4 linked regions of the Yarrowia lipolytica genome follow. The protein of the gene in region 2 interacts with the protein of the main gene of each other region in a pairwise test. Links are inferred from orthologs where the notes say so. Each region holds a gene or a part of one and is shown on either strand. Other genes may lie near its edges.

What was found.
Region 1: the proteins of YALI1_C13000g (region 2) and YALI1_B07852g interact in binary tests that used the Saccharomyces cerevisiae proteins (3 or more experiments, as listed by UniProt). The link is inferred for Yarrowia lipolytica from reciprocal best matches to the Saccharomyces cerevisiae genes SGT2 and YBR137W.
Region 3: the proteins of YALI1_C13000g (region 2) and YALI1_B08616g interact in binary tests that used the Saccharomyces cerevisiae proteins (3 or more experiments, as listed by UniProt). The link is inferred for Yarrowia lipolytica from reciprocal best matches to the Saccharomyces cerevisiae genes SGT2 and FIS1.
Region 4: the proteins of YALI1_C13000g (region 2) and YALI1_D27762g interact in binary tests that used the Saccharomyces cerevisiae proteins (3 or more experiments, as listed by UniProt). The link is inferred for Yarrowia lipolytica from reciprocal best matches to the Saccharomyces cerevisiae genes SGT2 and SEC22.

The regions. Positions count from the first base shown.
Region 1 is NC_090771.1:783,757-787,877, reverse strand, and holds YALI1_B07852g (uncharacterized protein), read left to right. Parts: upstream 1-2,669; coding exon 2,670-3,176; downstream 3,177-4,121. Other genes in the region: YALI1_B07864g (uncharacterized protein), read right to left, coding at 18-1,403; YALI1_B07853g (uncharacterized protein), read right to left, coding at 2,116-2,490; YALI1_B07843g (uncharacterized protein), read left to right, coding at 3,575-4,121.
Region 2 is NC_090772.1:1,298,054-1,302,387, reverse strand, and holds YALI1_C13000g (uncharacterized protein), read left to right. Parts: upstream 1-2,333; coding exon 2,334-3,368; downstream 3,369-4,334. Other genes in the region: YALI1_C13007g (uncharacterized protein), read right to left, coding at 1,108-1,635. UniProt on the Saccharomyces cerevisiae protein: Co-chaperone that binds to the molecular chaperone Hsp70 (SSA1 and SSA2). Regulates Hsp70 ATPase activity. Required for recovery from heat shock.
Region 3 is NC_090771.1:860,080-864,123, reverse strand, and holds YALI1_B08616g (uncharacterized protein), read left to right. Parts: upstream 1-2,470; coding exon 2,471-2,962; downstream 2,963-4,044. Other genes in the region: YALI1_B08627g (mitochondrial 37S ribosomal protein uS13m), read right to left, coding at 299-718, 1,359-1,409. UniProt on the Saccharomyces cerevisiae protein: Has a role in mitochondrial fission. Has a role in outer membrane fission but not matrix separation. Required for targeting MDV1 to the mitochondria.
Region 4 is NC_090773.1:2,774,431-2,778,544, reverse strand, and holds YALI1_D27762g (uncharacterized protein), read left to right. Parts: upstream 1-2,396; coding exon 2,397-3,038; downstream 3,039-4,114. Other genes in the region: YALI1_D27780g (uncharacterized protein), read left to right, coding at 574-1,758; YALI1_D27765g (uncharacterized protein), read right to left, coding at 1,774-1,936, 1,984-2,078; YALI1_D27748g (uncharacterized protein), read left to right, coding at 3,819-4,114. UniProt on the Saccharomyces cerevisiae protein: Nonessential SNARE involved in targeting and fusion of ER-derived transport vesicles with the Golgi complex as well as Golgi-derived retrograde transport vesicles with the ER.

The sequences.
Region 1 (4,121 bases), on a different chromosome or scaffold from region 2:
CTGCTGTATCATCTGGACTAAAACTTTTCCCGTCCAGCCTTGTTCACACTTCTGAAGCTTGCAACACCCCACTCTCCCAGCACTCCGAGAGCAGACACTCTCCATCCTCTGTAAAGATCCTCCAGGGGCATCTGGCCAGACAGCAGGTGCCACCAGACAGCCACAGTGGAGGTCTGGACAACGGGCTTGACAATCATGGCACCAGAGGGCAGATCCAGGTGGTTCACTTGTGCTCGTCGCAACATAGTCTCCAATGGCAGCTTGACGATCATGGTCACGTACGCGCTGGCCAGGTTGAACAGTCTGTCAAGCACGGGGAAGTGGTACGAGTCAATGCCCAGCTTGGTGATTTTCCAAAGAGGTAGAGTGTGTCGCACAATAGATGTACAGAAAGAGCCGAGGAAAGTGGGCACCAGCAGCTCGGGAGGGCACAGAAGCGACTTGAGCTCCACGAGCGACTGTCGCACGGAACGGGGCTTGGTGGAGAGTGTAGACACAATCAGACGTGTTCGGATGAGATCGAGAGGAGCCACAAGGAGAGAGGTGATCACTGAAGCGCTGACGGCTACAACGATAGAGGTGATGGGAGTAGGGGAGTGAGCGACCTCTTCCAGAAACAGAGGGTCCGGAGAGTTAGAAATGGAGCTGAAGAATCCAGAAAACCATGCCTCCAGAGTCATTGTAAGAGCTCCAAGCAGGAAGGAGGCGTTGAGAGCTCTCCATGGTCCCCGAACTCCGTCAACCTCGTTGAGAGCCAGCAGAATGTCCCAGTTGCGTGTAGTTCGGGCCTGTAGCTGGCTATGGTAGTTCTTGAGGAACTTCTTGAGTCGCTTCTTCTGGTCAGGTAGAGGGTCTGAATCCAGTACAATAGGGGAGTCGCCTCCGTGACTATGATTTCGGCTGTGGGTTCGAGGACTCAAGTCTCCCAGCGTTTCTCTATGGTTGCTTTCGAAATAGTCAATCTCTTCGTCCTCCTCTCGCTCCTCTTCCTCCTCAAGAGCCACTTCAATAATGTGGTCCTCGACCTCGGCCGCGCTCTCCACTCGTTGCAAATGACTCCAGTCTCCTACCTGCAGCAGTAGCTTGCTGACCTCCCAGGGCTGACTCAGAAAGGTCTTGCCGTAGAGCTGGAACAGCGAATGCATGGCATTTCGAACCGACTCGGACGTTCCGGTAATGTCGTAGTCAATCTCAATGCCATCAAACAGATCGCCGAAGTTGTGGTTGCCCACATTGCGGGTCAGTCGGCTGCTGTTGCCACCTTCAAAATGTGTGTAGGACCCAGAGGTAGTGGCTCCGCCAGGTGCGTCGGAGAAGTTGGGGAACTGTCGCTTGGTGTACAGCGTGCCTGTTCCAAACGTATCGGCGTTGTAATAGGGCCGTAATGTGTTGTCGGTCGCCATGGTGGTGGTGATGATAGCGATAGAATAGTACGATTAATCTCAGCTTGCCATATGCACAATTTTAGTTTAAATGGGACAACAGAGTTGGGCCAGAATCCCTGTGCTGGAGGTTGCTGGGACAGCTCGAGTACCAGCACTTGTAGCAAGTGGGTTGGTGATGGCGGGGCTGGTTTGTGGCCCGGATTTTGGGGTCTGGGTCTTCTTTTAATACTTTTTTTCTTACAACTCGCTGTTTGCTTATATAAGCAGATATGATGATCAAGGCCGCGAGGTATATAAAAATAAAAATAAAAATAAAATAAAAATAAAAAATGGAGACTTTCAAGGAAGAACGAGGGAATAATACGTTAAATATACCTCTATTGGAGGATATTTGTATAATACAAGTACAAATACATCAGGTCAGTTTGAAGTCACGTGATGACATTAGCGGTTTGTCGTATCATCATCCCATATAACCAGCATAACCAGCTTACAAGTACAAATCGTACAAGCACTACAAGTAGTACTCTTACTAATGTGTCTTTCTCAGATCACTGACATTTGCCAATCTATACTCTTCAAACAAAACAAATACCAATATCATTATAATTTACATGATGGCAGAAACAAGCCTCGTAGTTACCATTCGCGCCCTTCATTCTACCAATCCATGGCCAATGCACCTTACACGCGATGGTGCACTGTCTCGATACCCTCCTATGCAATGCAATCACTTCTTGTAGTTGATGAGGAACTCCCCCAGAGCCCGGACGGGGTCCTCAGGCTTGTCCTTGGCAATCTGTCGCATGCCAGCCAGCAGGGCGGGACTCACCTCCTTATTGAGCCACAGTCGCGTAGGAGCGCCGTAGTTTTCGGCAGGGTTTGGGAGCGAGGCAGTGGAAGCCGTCTCCTGCTTGATTGGCTCCGCCGCGGGTGTGGATGTGGAAGTTGGTGGGGTAGCCACCGCTGAGGGAGTGTGTGTAGATGATATTTCAGACACGGAAGCAGCAGGGATGGCAGGCTCGGGACCAGGCTCTGTCTTGGCCACAGCAGTCTCCGGAGCCGCAGCTGCAGGAAAGGCGTCAGTCATGGGTGTATCAGCCATTTTCTTGTCTGTATTCGATGCGGGAAGGGATTGTGGAGTCGTCTTTTTGATTCTGGCGATGTCAGCGCACTGTCTTAATAACGAACCTTAATCCCAAACTCTATCCCCCACACGTTATTCGGCTCGAACTAATTAATCCGAAAGCACCTTCTCCACTCCCCTTCACTTCACTCCCCTAAATGGCCACACCACTCCCCTTTGATCTTCCGCTGGAAAAAATTGACGAGCAGGAAGGCGAATGCATTCTCATGGGCTTCAACGCCGACTACGCGTTCGAGCTGGGCTCCCAGATCCGAGAACGCGCCAAGAAGGCAGGCAAGTGCATTCTGATCGATATTACCACCGTCACCGGTCTCACCTGGTTCCGGGCCGCTTCCGGACTGGGAACCAACATTGATAACCAGCACTGGGTGTCCCGAAAGCGAAACGCTGTTATTCGATTCGGTCGAAGCAGTTTCTTTCTGGGATGCAACATGAGACAGAAGGGCCGAACTCTGCAGGAGGCCTACGGAGTCAGTGACACTGAGTATGCTGCTCACGGAGGAGGATTCCCCATTCGCGTCAACGGAATCGAGGGCCCCGTCGCTGTTGTCACTGTCAGTGGTCTCCCTCAGGTTGAAGACCATACTCTTGTCTACCAGTGTCTCCGTGACTTTGCTGCCCAGCAACGAAAGGAACTGTCCTAACTAATTTAAGACTTTTGAGATGTTGATATTTCCCATTGCTAAGTACATCTTACACACGCGTTTTCGGGCGGCATCTAAGCGCTGGACTCCCCAATTACTTTTCGGAGACGGAGCGAGTGACGTGGAACGTGATTATATAATGGACTAAAATGGTGTTGCAGCTTCAATTTGATCTATAAGGAGGTGAAGGTGCATTGAGTAAGTACACCAGATCATCTCTGTCTCTACCATTAGCCCATACTTGTACTCGTACTCGTACTTGTACATAATCTCTACATGTGAAGGTCTCAGTCTCCCCCAACAAATTAAGGTTGGCTGCGGATATTCCCATTATTGCAGCCGTGGCATGAGGTAGCACCAGTATCATACTCCACAACAACTTTTCTCGCACAAACACAATGGATCCTTTTGTACAAGTCTGCGCGGATGCGCAAAACCAGCTGACGCAGACGCGAGACCTGCTGGAGCAGTTCCGGTCGGACCCTTCAAACCACAATACCCTTCAGGATCTCACAAACATCACAGAGGAGCTGGCAGAGACGATATCCGACCTTTCACAGTCCGTCGAGGCCGCCCAGGGCCGACCACAGCAGTTTGGTCTCAGCAGCGAAGATATCCAGGACCGTAGCAAGCAGGTTGCTCAACTCATGTCGCAGCTGGGTCAGGTACAGAAGGAGGTGAGCAAGATTCGGAACACAGGCACGCCACATGGCATCTACTCCGATGAGCCAGACGACACGGAGGCCCGAACTGCAGGGCTCACCCAGCAGATGTATGCAAGCCAGATCGAGGAGCAGGACAACGCTCTTGATGGCGTCTACAACACGGTGAACTCGTTGCGGGAACAGGCCAACGTCATGTCGCGGGAGCTGGAGGACCAGTCGTATCTCATTGATGACCTAGATCGTCACGCCGACTCGGCTGGCTCTCGGTTACAGCGTGGTC
Region 2 (4,334 bases):
CCACGGTTTTGTGTTCCTACAAGTCCTAAAAGCATATTCCGACATTTGGGGGTTAGCTTTGTGGGGGCAGCTACAGTACGTACTGCTCATACGACGGTACGAGTAACCTAGACCTGTTTCCCCACTCGATCTAGGCTTTGGTGGAAACGCTGCTCTTGGAAAGTCATGAATGGACCACGTGCCGTGAGCCACCCCTTGGTGCAAATGGGCCTGCCATTCGTCAGCTCGTCCTGGTCTCGTCATCTGTCTGACGGGTTTTTTTTCCACCGCAGCACATTGCTCCAGCGTGTGGCCTGCAACGCTTGCTGCAAGACCGTAGCGACTCCATCAGCCAGGTTTCGGAAGCCCAGTGGGACCACCAGGAGACGCTACAAGTACGGGTGCGAGTAGCTCTCCGCCTTCGTATCACGCTAGCACCACCAGCCGATCATTGGCGCCAGTCAGCCCAAACTCTACGGCAATCTAGGAACGGAAGCCTCGACTCTGGTACAGGAGGTGGAAACGCGCACATCGCTCGCATAAAGTGTCAACCCGCAACCATGTGGAATGTCTTAGATGCGAGCAAGAAACGAGGTGAAACACGGGAGTATTGCAATGACGGGGCAGTTTTTGGCGATGACTGGCGATAACACTTTTGATGTGCACTTTTTTTTCGGATCTAGTGTTGAGCACGTACGAGACAGCTGGAAGAGGCGGCAAAATCAAGGGCGTTGATTTGAGGCTTGTTGGTGTTTATACAATGGATGGTGGTGGTTGTTCTATTTGCTTGTGAAGTCGCTCATATACAAATAGAACACTGAGAGAAAAATGATAATCAACTTTCAGTAACTTTTCAGCAACTTTTTAGCAACTTTTCAGCAACTTTTCAGCAACTTTTCAGCAACTTTTCAGTCACCTCTTCAGTCACCTCTTCAGTCAACTAATCAGCAACTCTTCAGATGAACTTCTGAGACATAACATCTGCTGATTCGATATACTACAAGAGCCCAAATAATGTCTAGTCCGGATGCTAAACTTGATGGCCACTTCCTCTACTGATTTTCTCCACTCAGAAAACACTGTTAGCATTATGTACAGAGACTATTTACAATTCAGAACGACCAACGATCACTCCTTGCCCTCCTCGAGAGCCTTTCGCTTGGCATAGACCTGGTGGGCCAGAGCAGCGTTCTCAAACGACTGCTTTCGGTTATATCGACACATTTCCCACTTGGCCACGGCTCCAATGGTGAATCCGCCAATGGCCCAGTTGGCAGCGCTGAGCGTGGACCGTCGCATCGACAGCATGACTCCCAGAACAGAGCCACCGGTGATGAAGCCCGTGATCATAGCGTCTCGGAAACAGGGGATCTGGGTCACGGTCTTAAAGTCGTTCACGCCGATCTGAGAAACCACATTCGACACCTTGGCCTCGCCCTCGGGAACGGGCTTGGTGATCTTGGGAGGGGGCGGGCGCACAAGCTCGGCCTCCTTCTCCTTGAGCTCCTTGAGCAGAGCCGCCTTCTTGGCCTGGATGTCTTCCAGGTCGAATCGAGGCTTTGTGTCGTCCAACATCTTGCCGTCGGACGTGACCGGAGCGGAAAAGTCCACGGGGCCGTCCTGGTCTTGTGGTTTGTTGCTGTTGAAGGGCCACATGTTGTTTAGGTAAGTGTAGATGTTGCTGAGATCTATACTTGGTCTTGCACTTGTAGATTGAGGTCAAGTCTGCCTGCAGAACACTGCTGCAGAGTCACGTGCAATTTTCCGAATACGGCAGCGGGATATATCCAATTTAGAGTTGCCGTATTCCATCTGTGGCATAAATGCGTATTCCCAAAAGAGTATACGCCCGAGCCCCACGGACGAGTACAACGAGACACTTGGAGGGAGAAGAATCACTATAAGACCGGCCGCGGATGTGGAGCTGAATGTATTCCGGTAGTTCCACCTTGCTTGTACACTTTGGCAGTTCGCCACCGATCTAACATGTCAATTCAATTTGCCCCCTCTCAAAGGTCGCTAACATATTCAAAGTCAGTCCCAACTTGTTCCAGAACCTTCCCCAAGTGAAGGCAAAGTAAAGTGTCAACTAAAGTAAGGGGTCATGGAGGGGGCATTCTGAGGGGTGTGTTGTAACGGCAGAAATAGCCAATTTCTGAAAAATCCGACGGCAGAAATCAACTCAATGTGTCATAAATATCCGTTGTAGCCACTCACTTTGTCTTTTCACTCCCCACAACCCCCTCGATAGCCCTCCATGTTTCTGCCATTCATACTCGCCACGTTGTGAATCTAAACTACACCATCTTAACAGTGCATATGTCTCTCTTGAGTTCCACCACACCACCCACACAATGTCCGACAAGAAAGATCTCGCAGTTGGAATCGTCGATTTCCTCAAAACCTCCGTCTCCGACGGCACCATCCCCGAAGACGACCACGAATCGGTCCAGGTCGCCATTGACTGTCTGGAGGACGTGTTCAAGATTGAGGGTGTTTCCAAGGACTCGGTTCTGGGCAAGCAGACTCTTTTGGACATCTTCAAGAACCGATCCAACTCGGCTTCCACCGCCGGTGCCGACAAGTCCTCCCCTGCACTCGAGGCTGCCGCTGCCAAGATGGCTGCCGCCACTGCGGTTCTGACTGAGGAGCAGAAGACCCAGGCCGACAAGCTCAAGCTGGAGGGCAACAAGGCGCTGTCGCAACGAAACTTCGAAGAGTCCATCGATCTGTACACCCAGGCCATCGACATCGACGCGAACAACGCCGTCTACTACTCCAACCGAGCCGCCGCCTACTCCCAGCTCCAGCTCCACGATAATGCCATTGCCGACGCTGACGCCGCCATTCGAGTTGATCCCAACTACTCCAAGGCCTACTCGCGTCTGGGACTGGCAAAGTACGCCTCCGGTGACGCCCAGGGCGCGCTGGAGGCCTACGAGATGGGCATGAAGGTCGAGGGCGACAATGTCTCCGACGCCATGAAGCGGGGCTACGAGACCGCCAAGAAGCGAGTCGATGAGGAGGCCGTCGCCACCCGGGACGCCCCCGCTGAGGGTGGAGCCGCTGGAGGAGCTGGAGGAGCTCCCGCTGGTTTCCCCGATCTCGGAGCTCTCGGTTCCATGTTTGGCGGTGGTGCTGGAGGCGGAATGCCCGATCTGGCTGGTCTCATGAACAACCCCGCCGTGGCCCAGATGGCCCAGAAGTTCATGTCCGACCCCAATGCGCTCAACAACCTGATGAGCAACCCTGCTGTGGCTAACATGGCTCAGCGAATGCAGGGCGGCAACATGCCCTCCATGAGTGAGATGATGAACGACCCTGCTTTGCGAGAGATGGCCAGCAAGTTTGGCGGCGCTGGAGGTGCTGGAGGTGCTGGAGGACAGTAAGGGGACTGTGCGGTGGAGCGCTTCTCATGTGGTGCTGTGTCTTAGAAAGATTGATGTATTAAACAGATTTGTGTTTTGATTGGAGCCATGAGGGGAAGATCAAGTTGGACCGTCCTCCTGGAGTGTCATTCTGAGTCGATCATACGAATCATACTGTAGAGAGATGTGAGCGATCGGTGCGGGCTGGAGAATGCATTCGGGATGAGTACGGTTGCATTCGTCTTTACTAGTCAACCCCGAACGTCACGTAGCTGAACGATGAGATGGTGAACAAGCGATGGTGGTGATGGTGGTGATGGTGGTGATGGTGGTGATGGTGAAGAGGCGTTGAGTAGTCAGTTTTTATATATTGTACATACTACCCCCAACAGCTTCCTTCCATCCTCACGAATAGCAATACTCATCCATACACTTTCGACACACCTCCGGCACCGTTTTGTTCTGTCTCTGGAACTCTCTCAGAACTACGGAACAGCCGATACACTGGGCCCATTCAGTGGAATTGCTCATGGTAGCAATATCGAATCCGGTTTGGACAATTCCATCGATATCCTCCTTGGAGTAGTCTAGTTTCATGGTCTTGACTAGGGAGTTGTAGGAGACCTCAAGATTGGGGATTTCGACAAAAAGTGGCACGTATCTATTTGATTCTGGAATCTTCCTCATCTTTGTCACGTCGCAGCCCATCCACAGCGGTTTTTCAAGGTACTTGGCCTGGTACTCATGTGGGGAAGGAACTAGCGGAAACACTCCTTCACCCATCTCCTCGGAGACTTTGTTGGCTAGATTTGTAAGCGTTTTGCCATCGGGAGTGTTATTGGGAGGCGCTCCGTCAGCATCGAGACAGAAAAACATGTCCACCTTTCTAGACGGGTGGACCATGGGCCATAGTGGAAGACCCATCCCCGAGTAAGCGCCATCTGCTCCGTATAGCGCCATGCCGTTGTAGGGCGCTTCAACGTCACT
Region 3 (4,044 bases), on a different chromosome or scaffold from region 2:
AAAGCGAGGCAGGTGGTTTCAAAAACACGTCGTATGATTTTTTATTGGTGTTACACCCTTGTTTGTTAGTTGCGACAAACTTATGTTTAATTACTTGACATTTGGAGATTTAGTACTTGAGTCTAGTTAACATTTTAGTTGGGAGTCTACAGTAGTTTACACTTTTGTTGGATTGACATACGACAAACCTGTAACTTGACATCGCCTCGTAGACGACTATCTGACGGTGCCACCAGTGTGGAACTTTGTCGCTTGCGTTCAAACATTTCATTTTTTAACCTCGGTCAGACTATATACATTACCAAAACTTGGATAGGAATCCCATGATGCCCTTGGCCTCGGCTCCAGGGGCAGCCTTGTACTCGTTGGCCAGTGAGCCGAGAGCTTCGGAAACGGAGCCAAAGTGTCGTCGGGGCACTCGGTTGAACCGTCGGGCGTTCTTTCCGTTGGTTCGAGTCTTCTGGCCCTTGACGGGCATACCCATGACGTGTCGTCGACCGACGTACGAGCCGGTCTTTCGCTTTCGCTCAATGTCGGCGTTGATCTTCTTGGCCAGGTCGGACTCGATGGTCACATTGGTTGACAGCTCCTTGACAATTGCCATGATGTCGCCCTGGGTGAGCTCGCCCATTCGCATGCCAGGATACAGGCCAATCTTGGCACATAGCCGCTTGGCCTGGAACGGACCCACGCCGAACACTTGCTGAGACAGTCCGTACTGAGTTAGTATGTCACGAGGCAGGGGAGAATAGAGCAAAACTGAAGAAAGCAGGTGGAATCCGCCACTCGGGAAGGATGGTGGGTGTCGACATGTAAGGTGTAAGATCTGATGCTTTTGGTTGGAAAAATCAGTGTTCATCGGTCTTAACCTGCGCTGAATACCAGATCTTAGATGTAGATAGGCCGTCTATCCACTCTTTTTCGTCCATGTACGTATCCTGGGTACACGTTATTTGTTGGTTGATGGTATCACTCTCTTTTGGGCCAAAAGTCTCGAAAACAAGACTAAACGACAGTTTGAGTCTCGGAACACCTTGTAAACCGTCCTCAATTGTCAATACTGCCGTTTGCACAAGCCCGTGTCACGTACATGTCGGATGTGTGACGTTCATATCATCACACCAGTTCTTCTCTCTCACCTACTTGCGAAAGCTGAAAGTCGGTAAATCACTTGTCGCCGCCGAAACCCCATCATTAGTCACTCTCCCGTCCTTCTCCCATCCGCCTAAGCTCTTATCAGCTCAACATGTCCACATGACAAAATCTCACAGTTTGATCCATCGCGTTCTCGGTCATTTGTGGCTCCATCTTTTCCGAACAAGTCATCACCCGCTCCATGTCACCCGTGAAATACTCACAGAAACCTTCCAGGTGTTCTGGAACCGCTTTCCCATAATATGAACCACCATTTTTGCTGTATGTGTGTTTGGTGATGTGTGTGAAATTTGCGCTTAGTCAGGACCTCCCACAAGAACAAACCCTATCCCAGACTTTTGATATAGTACAGGTTCTGCATCCGCCCTAACCCTACCCTAACCCTGAGATGTAGGAAGTGGGGAGGGAAATACCGCCGTTTGAACGCGGTTTTTGTGTTCATCAGAACGCTCAACACACGTGCTCTCTGGTCACTCTGCCGGGAAGCGGTATTGCGGTTTTTAAAAAACAGCACTCTCATTGGCCAACAACGATAAGGTTGCACATATCGAAATAAGGTTTTATGCTAACTCCGTGATGACTAAGCTCGTTAGCGCCACGGGGGCGGATAATGCCTGGTCCCTAGTCTAGTGATATCGACCTGCGACCGAGTTATCAAACATTCTGAAGGCTCTTTGTGTGCCGGTTTTGTGACTCCGTTTAATTTTCGTTAAAGTTCGCTCACGTGACTCGCCACTGCAGCAACCCTACATATTCGATCCCGCACACATGTACTATCCGCCATACACAACCATGAAGAAGGAGGACTATTTGCCCAGTGAGTATTGATGGAGAGCCGGGTTAGGGAATTGAGGCGAGGGGAGGGTGTTTGAGGGGTTAGGGTGACAAGCGATTTGGAACGACAACTGAGACGACAGCTGAAACGACAGCTGAGATGAGTCCTGAGATACCCATGTTTGCGCCGATTGGTGGGTGAAAGTGATGGAGTGGAGCGGTTGGTTGGACTTGTCTATGACGTGTTGGTTCCAAATTTTGAGTGGTCAATTTAGTTGTTTTCAAGGATATTCTCTGAGGCAGTGGAGGCGGCGTGGCGGAGGTTCATATAGTATTCGGTGTTGATTCAATCAGTGTTGACTTTACATTGGTGCTGGTTGAATCGGCGCTGCCTACAGTGGTCCTCTACAAACCATGGCCAAAGACGCAACTGAGACCGTCGATACGTTACTGCACTTTCTACATCTCATTGATACCAGTTTTTAGAACTCCTTACCTGCTTGCTCTACTCCGTTGGATCTACCTCCAACAACCCTGTCACATGACACCTACCCCCAACTCCCCGGACTGCAGCCACTTCCGTTCTAACACAGACCTCGTCGATATCGAGTCTCCGCTCTCGGACGAAGAGCTCTACGTTCTTTCTCAACAGTACAACAACGAGGGCGACTTTGTCTCGGTGCAGACCCGCTTCAACTATGCCTGGGGTCTGATCAAGTCTCGAAAGGTCGAGGACCAGCAGCTGGGAGTGCAGATCCTGGCCCAGGTGTACAAGGACACGCCCTCTCGACGTCGAGAGTGCCTCTACTACCTTGCCATCGGCTCCTACAAGCTTGGCGAATACACAGATGCTCGGAAATACTGCGACCTGTTGCTGCAGATCGAGCCCGATGACCCCCAGAGCGCCAAGCTGCGTCAGATCATCGAGGACAAGCTGGCCAAGGAGGGCATGATTGGAATTGCTATTGTGGGAGGAGTCATTGCGGTGGGAGCTGCTGTTCTGGGCGCCGTGTTGAGCCAGAAAAAACGGTGAGATGGACCGTGAGTGTGACAAATCATTTTTTTCACAGAAAGTGGGTCACATGTTACGCTCACGTAAAGCACTGATGATCACAATGCTCCGTGCTAAAATATGTACAGAACGCTACAGCCCACTCACGTGATGGTAATATATGAGTTATAGATAGACCAGCTACTTGTAGCCATCGTTGAGTGGAAGGGACTTGAAGAGGTGAACGTGCAAGTCTACGAGGCAGTGCCGGAGCAATGGAAAGCACGCACGCAACATTCGGCTCCAGTAGGTCGATGTAGAGATGACACTGAGGTCATGGAATGAAACATTGTCTTCGAGAGAAGAAAAAGCGGAAGTCAGACACTTGGAGTCTCCGTTCAGGTTGACGATATGGAATCCTAGGCTGTGGTGGAGGCATCTGATGATGACCAGACTGTCGTTCATCGCCCCTGATCCAGAAGAACCAAATCCCCAGACAGTCAACCATCAAATGGCGGATGTTGAGGTATCTTGGTCCGAGTCATGACTGAAGCTAGCTATTATCTGAGCCAGGAACTTTTCAACAGCTGGATCAGTATAGAATACCAGTAGATGGCGATGAGAGTGATGCCGTATGATAGAAGGGTGACAGTCGCCGGCACTAACTAGGAAAGACTTCAGGATCCGAGAATATGTATAGATGAGCAGTACTCAGGTTGAACTTTGGTCTTGTTGAATCCAACGACAATTTGTGGGATTATTGACAAGATGATTAAGAAAAGAGGTCCTTCAACAGGGACTCAACAGTGTTTACTGGCCTTGTGGAGATGGGACGTCATCAGGACAAGAGTAGTTGAACCGGATGTATTGTATGTACTGTACATACTGCACTTACTGTAGCAATGGCAGTAAAGGTCTGGCCTAAGGTCTACAAGGACATAGCAGCGATGCTATACACGATATTCACGGGATTCTTCTGCTAGGCTTTCATCTCTACACTATCCCTGCTAGGAGTTATGGTAGGGTGAGGTTGTCATGTAGCGGAAATTGCTGAATAATCCGCCATGAGATGGAAAACTGCGCAAACTGGTTCAAAAAGAACAGCAAGTTTGTCATGTGACACA
Region 4 (4,114 bases), on a different chromosome or scaffold from region 2:
ATCAAATCAAATAGAATACTACTAGTAATACACTGTGAATTGTATTCTGGCTTGTAATATTACAAGAGAGAATAAATATACACCACTACGGTGTATATCAGTGAAGCAACATGTCTGAATAACTACGAGTAGTAGCACTGGTGGCTTGCATGGTGCTTGGATATCTAGATGGCCCTACGACACCAATTGTGCTTCCAGAGGACCGAAACTCCGGAAATCAATTGCAAAGAATCCTATAAACATTGTGCAAAAATCTGATGAAAAAAAAGTTCCTCTAAGCTGGTCGGTCCTCATCCCTCTTTCTCACCCCACGCCATCTGCATGCAGAGTAAATAGTGCAGAACCTCCGAAACACATCACACCATTCATCTCGCTCAATATTCCACCGATACGAATAAAAATTACACCATTAGAATTCTCAGAGATCCACCATGACATTGATACCCCCATACAAGTCATTACTCTGTTAATCACCCCCACACAGTCCGTCGTCTCTCGCAACTCTATCCCCATCTAACTCTTGACATCTCTTCATCTCCTAGCACCTTCCGAAGGCTTCAGCACCACCACACCATGAAGCGTGCTTTCGGTAGATTGAGCCCCCCTCTGCGTCATCTGACACAACCCCGCACCATGGCCACCACCGCGCGAACCACCACGCCTCTCAATCTCCAGATCGGCTGTTTGCAGCTCAAGCCCGAGATCGGGGAAGTCGACAAGAACATGGGAGTGGCCAACGAGCTCATCGACCGGTACTACGCCACTGCCAAGAAGGACGATAAGACCCCCAAGATTGATATCTTGATGCTCCCCGAAATGTCATTCACAGGTTACAACTTCGAGAGCCCCGAGAACCTCAAGCCATTCCGAGAAGAAACGGAGTCGTCCAAGTCGATCGAATGGGCTAGAGAGTGCGCCAAGAAGATCGACGGCCACGTGCTGGTCGGATACCCCGAGTTTAGCCCTCAAGACGATGCGACCTACAACTCTGTGTCCATGGTGTCTCCCAAGGGTGATATCCTCTTCACCTACCGAAAGTCGTTCCTGTACACCGCCGACGAGGCAATGGGCATGAGCGAGTCTCCCGACGGCTTCCAGACATACGGACCCTTCCCTTCTCTGTCTCAGGACATCCCTCTCAAGTTCCAGGTGGGAATTTGCATGGATATCAACCCCTACAAGTTTGAGTCTGCTCCTTCGGAGTACGAGTTTGGCAATTCAGTCAAGAAGAACAAGGTGCCTCTGGTGCTGCTCCCAATGGCCTGGACTCACTCCAAGTCTCCCTCCCTAGTGCCTGTCAAGTCCTCCGACAAGATCCCTATGACTGAGGAGCAGGAGAAGACCCACAGCGAGCTCCGAAACGCCATTGTGCATAAGTGCACCATGCTGCACGGCAAGTCCACCTTTGATGGACTCATCACCGAGCCCAAGGAGATCCCCAAGTACAAGAACGAGGATCTGGCCACTTTCCACGACTACACTGCCGATGTCGACAACAAACTGCCTTTGGTGGACACCCTGCAGTACTGGATCGAGCGTCTGCAGCCCGTGTGGAACCAGAACACGGACGTGGACTTCCCGGTGACCATGGTGACTGCCAACAGAGTTGGATTCGAGCAGGGAGACGTCCTGTACGCTGGCTCGTCCATGTGCGCGGTTATGGATCCTCTTCAGCAGAAGATTTTTCTGCGGGGAGCTCTCTCAGCCGCTGATGAGGGTCTCATGGTGTTCAATGTTGATTTGAGCGTTCCCAACTAACAGCCTTAATGACTGTCAGTGAGTGAGATGTGTGTTCAGGATGTGTTGCAACAACACACCATCTATGTATATATGATATTTTTTTGTTTCAAAGACGTGTAGCCGGGTGGCTTGGCTCTTTGCATATATTTTCTCCTCTTTTCCAGCAGTTTTTATTCTGAATCGACTTTTGACGTTGCTCAAAGAGCTAACATTCCTCAGAGGAATTCACATTCATACTGTGACTCAACTCTATACAAGCTACTGGAAACTAAAGAGATGATGTCGAAAAAACCTGTTGAAAGTGGATTTACGACATATAGGAGAATTGATATGGTCATCTAGACACTCTATAAGCCCTTCAATCCAACAGAAACTCACTCACACACACTCTCTCTCTCTCCGAGGTCAATAGGCCAATATGACAGGTGACGAGCTAAAAACGCAACAGTCGCGAATATTGCTGCGATCGAAAAACAAACAACACCATTCGACTCACCAAAACCGCGCGAGAATTTCCATATCGACAATTGTTTCCTTGCTAGCTGCCCAGATACACGTATTATCCCACCACCGGTTTGCCCCACCAACCTAAATCCTAACACGTACGCATCAGCAGCAGTACACGCTAGACTCAACCACATCACTATACACACAAAATGGTGCTCTCTACTCTGATTATGCGGGCCTCGGATGGCCTGCCTCTGTCGGCCAGCGTGGATGACGGCCAGGAGAACCTCAGCGAGCAGAAGAAGCAGTGCAAGCTCGTGACCCAGAAGCTGTCTGCCAACTCGGCCGACCGAGCCTCGATTGAAAGTGGCAACTACGTGATCCACTATCTGATGAAGGACGGAATCGTTTACTACTGCATCTCCGAGTCTTCGTACCCCCGCAAACTCGCCTTCAGCTACCTAGACGAGCTGGATCGGGAGTTCCAAAAGTCCCATGGCCAGGAGGCTCTCAAGGAGGGGGTGCGACCCTACAAGTTTGTGGAGTTCGACACGTTCATGCAGAAGACCAAGCGGGTGTACCAGGACACTCGAGCAACCCACAACCTCGACAAGCTCAACACGGAGCTGCAGGACGTGACTCGAGTCATGACCAAGAACATTGAGGATCTGCTGCACCGAGGCCACTCGCTGGATCACATGAGCGATCTTAGCAGCAACCTGCGGACCGAGAGCAAAAAGTACCGACGGGCTGCCCAGCGGATCAATTGGGAGGCCATGATCCGACAGTACATTCCCTTCATTGGAGTGGGTCTCATTGGTCTGTTTATGCTGTGGTGGATGCTCTTTTAAACAGGGGGACGCAGATGAGTCAATCATTTGGAAGATGGATGCCATCGACGACAGCCACGCCCGGGCTGAGAAGCTGTACTGAGGCTGTCTCAGCTCGCTGTGAACGGCTCGCTGAACGGGATATTGCTGGAGAAGCTGGATTTATACGATAGTAATATATTGATTGGGTGAGTTGCTACTGGAATGATTGGGAAAGCAGTACATACTATTAACCTGAAAGCAGTACATACTATTAACCTGTCCTTGCATGTCTCAAGAGTACTGGAGCTAGTTAGCTTCTGTTTTTTTAGAAGTATACCAAGGCTTGAAAAGCGCGAGTGTCGCTCGAATGTACTGTGTGAGTACAGAAGCTGCAAGATACAATGATTGGCGTGTATCAACTTGTTTGATTCTGTAATCCTTCCACTATTATCAAGGTCTTTTCATTACTAACCAAGTACAGTATATACATTGCAATTACTGTATCGTACCTCTACTGTAACCCATCTTACTTCCATATAGCCACTTGCTCAAACTCGTTGATTTTTCTGCCGATCGCGTTCAATGTCAATATATCATCTCTTCAAGGGATATATTACCATCCGTCACGCAATCTCTCCACTCCATTCAACGGACTCCTTGGTATGCCCGCTGTCTTAATTAACTCACACCAAATACCCCAACCCCAACTCGAACACACGCCTTCCTGATTTCAAACCCTAATGTGAAATTTGAGTGTGTGGTGCTCAGCGAGGTTCTCACACATACCACAACTTTTTTCACACATTTACACGACTAAAGATGCTAGCAGTCAGCCGAGCCAGCGGATTCCGAGCAGCCCGAGTGGTTCCTGTCCACGTGACCCGACAGCAGGTACGACACAACTCCGGCGGCCTCAACTCTCTGTGGTCGTGGTTCAAGCGAAAGGACGCTTCCAAGAAGGAGGCGGCCCCTCCCGTCATCAAGACCAAGGATCTGGTCAAGAACATTGAGCAGCAGAGCAAGGCTGGCTGGGAGTCTACTGCGGCCACCGAGCAGAAGACCGAGTCCAAGGAGGAGCCCAAGTCTTTTGCTTCCGAGACCGCGGTTGATCTGGA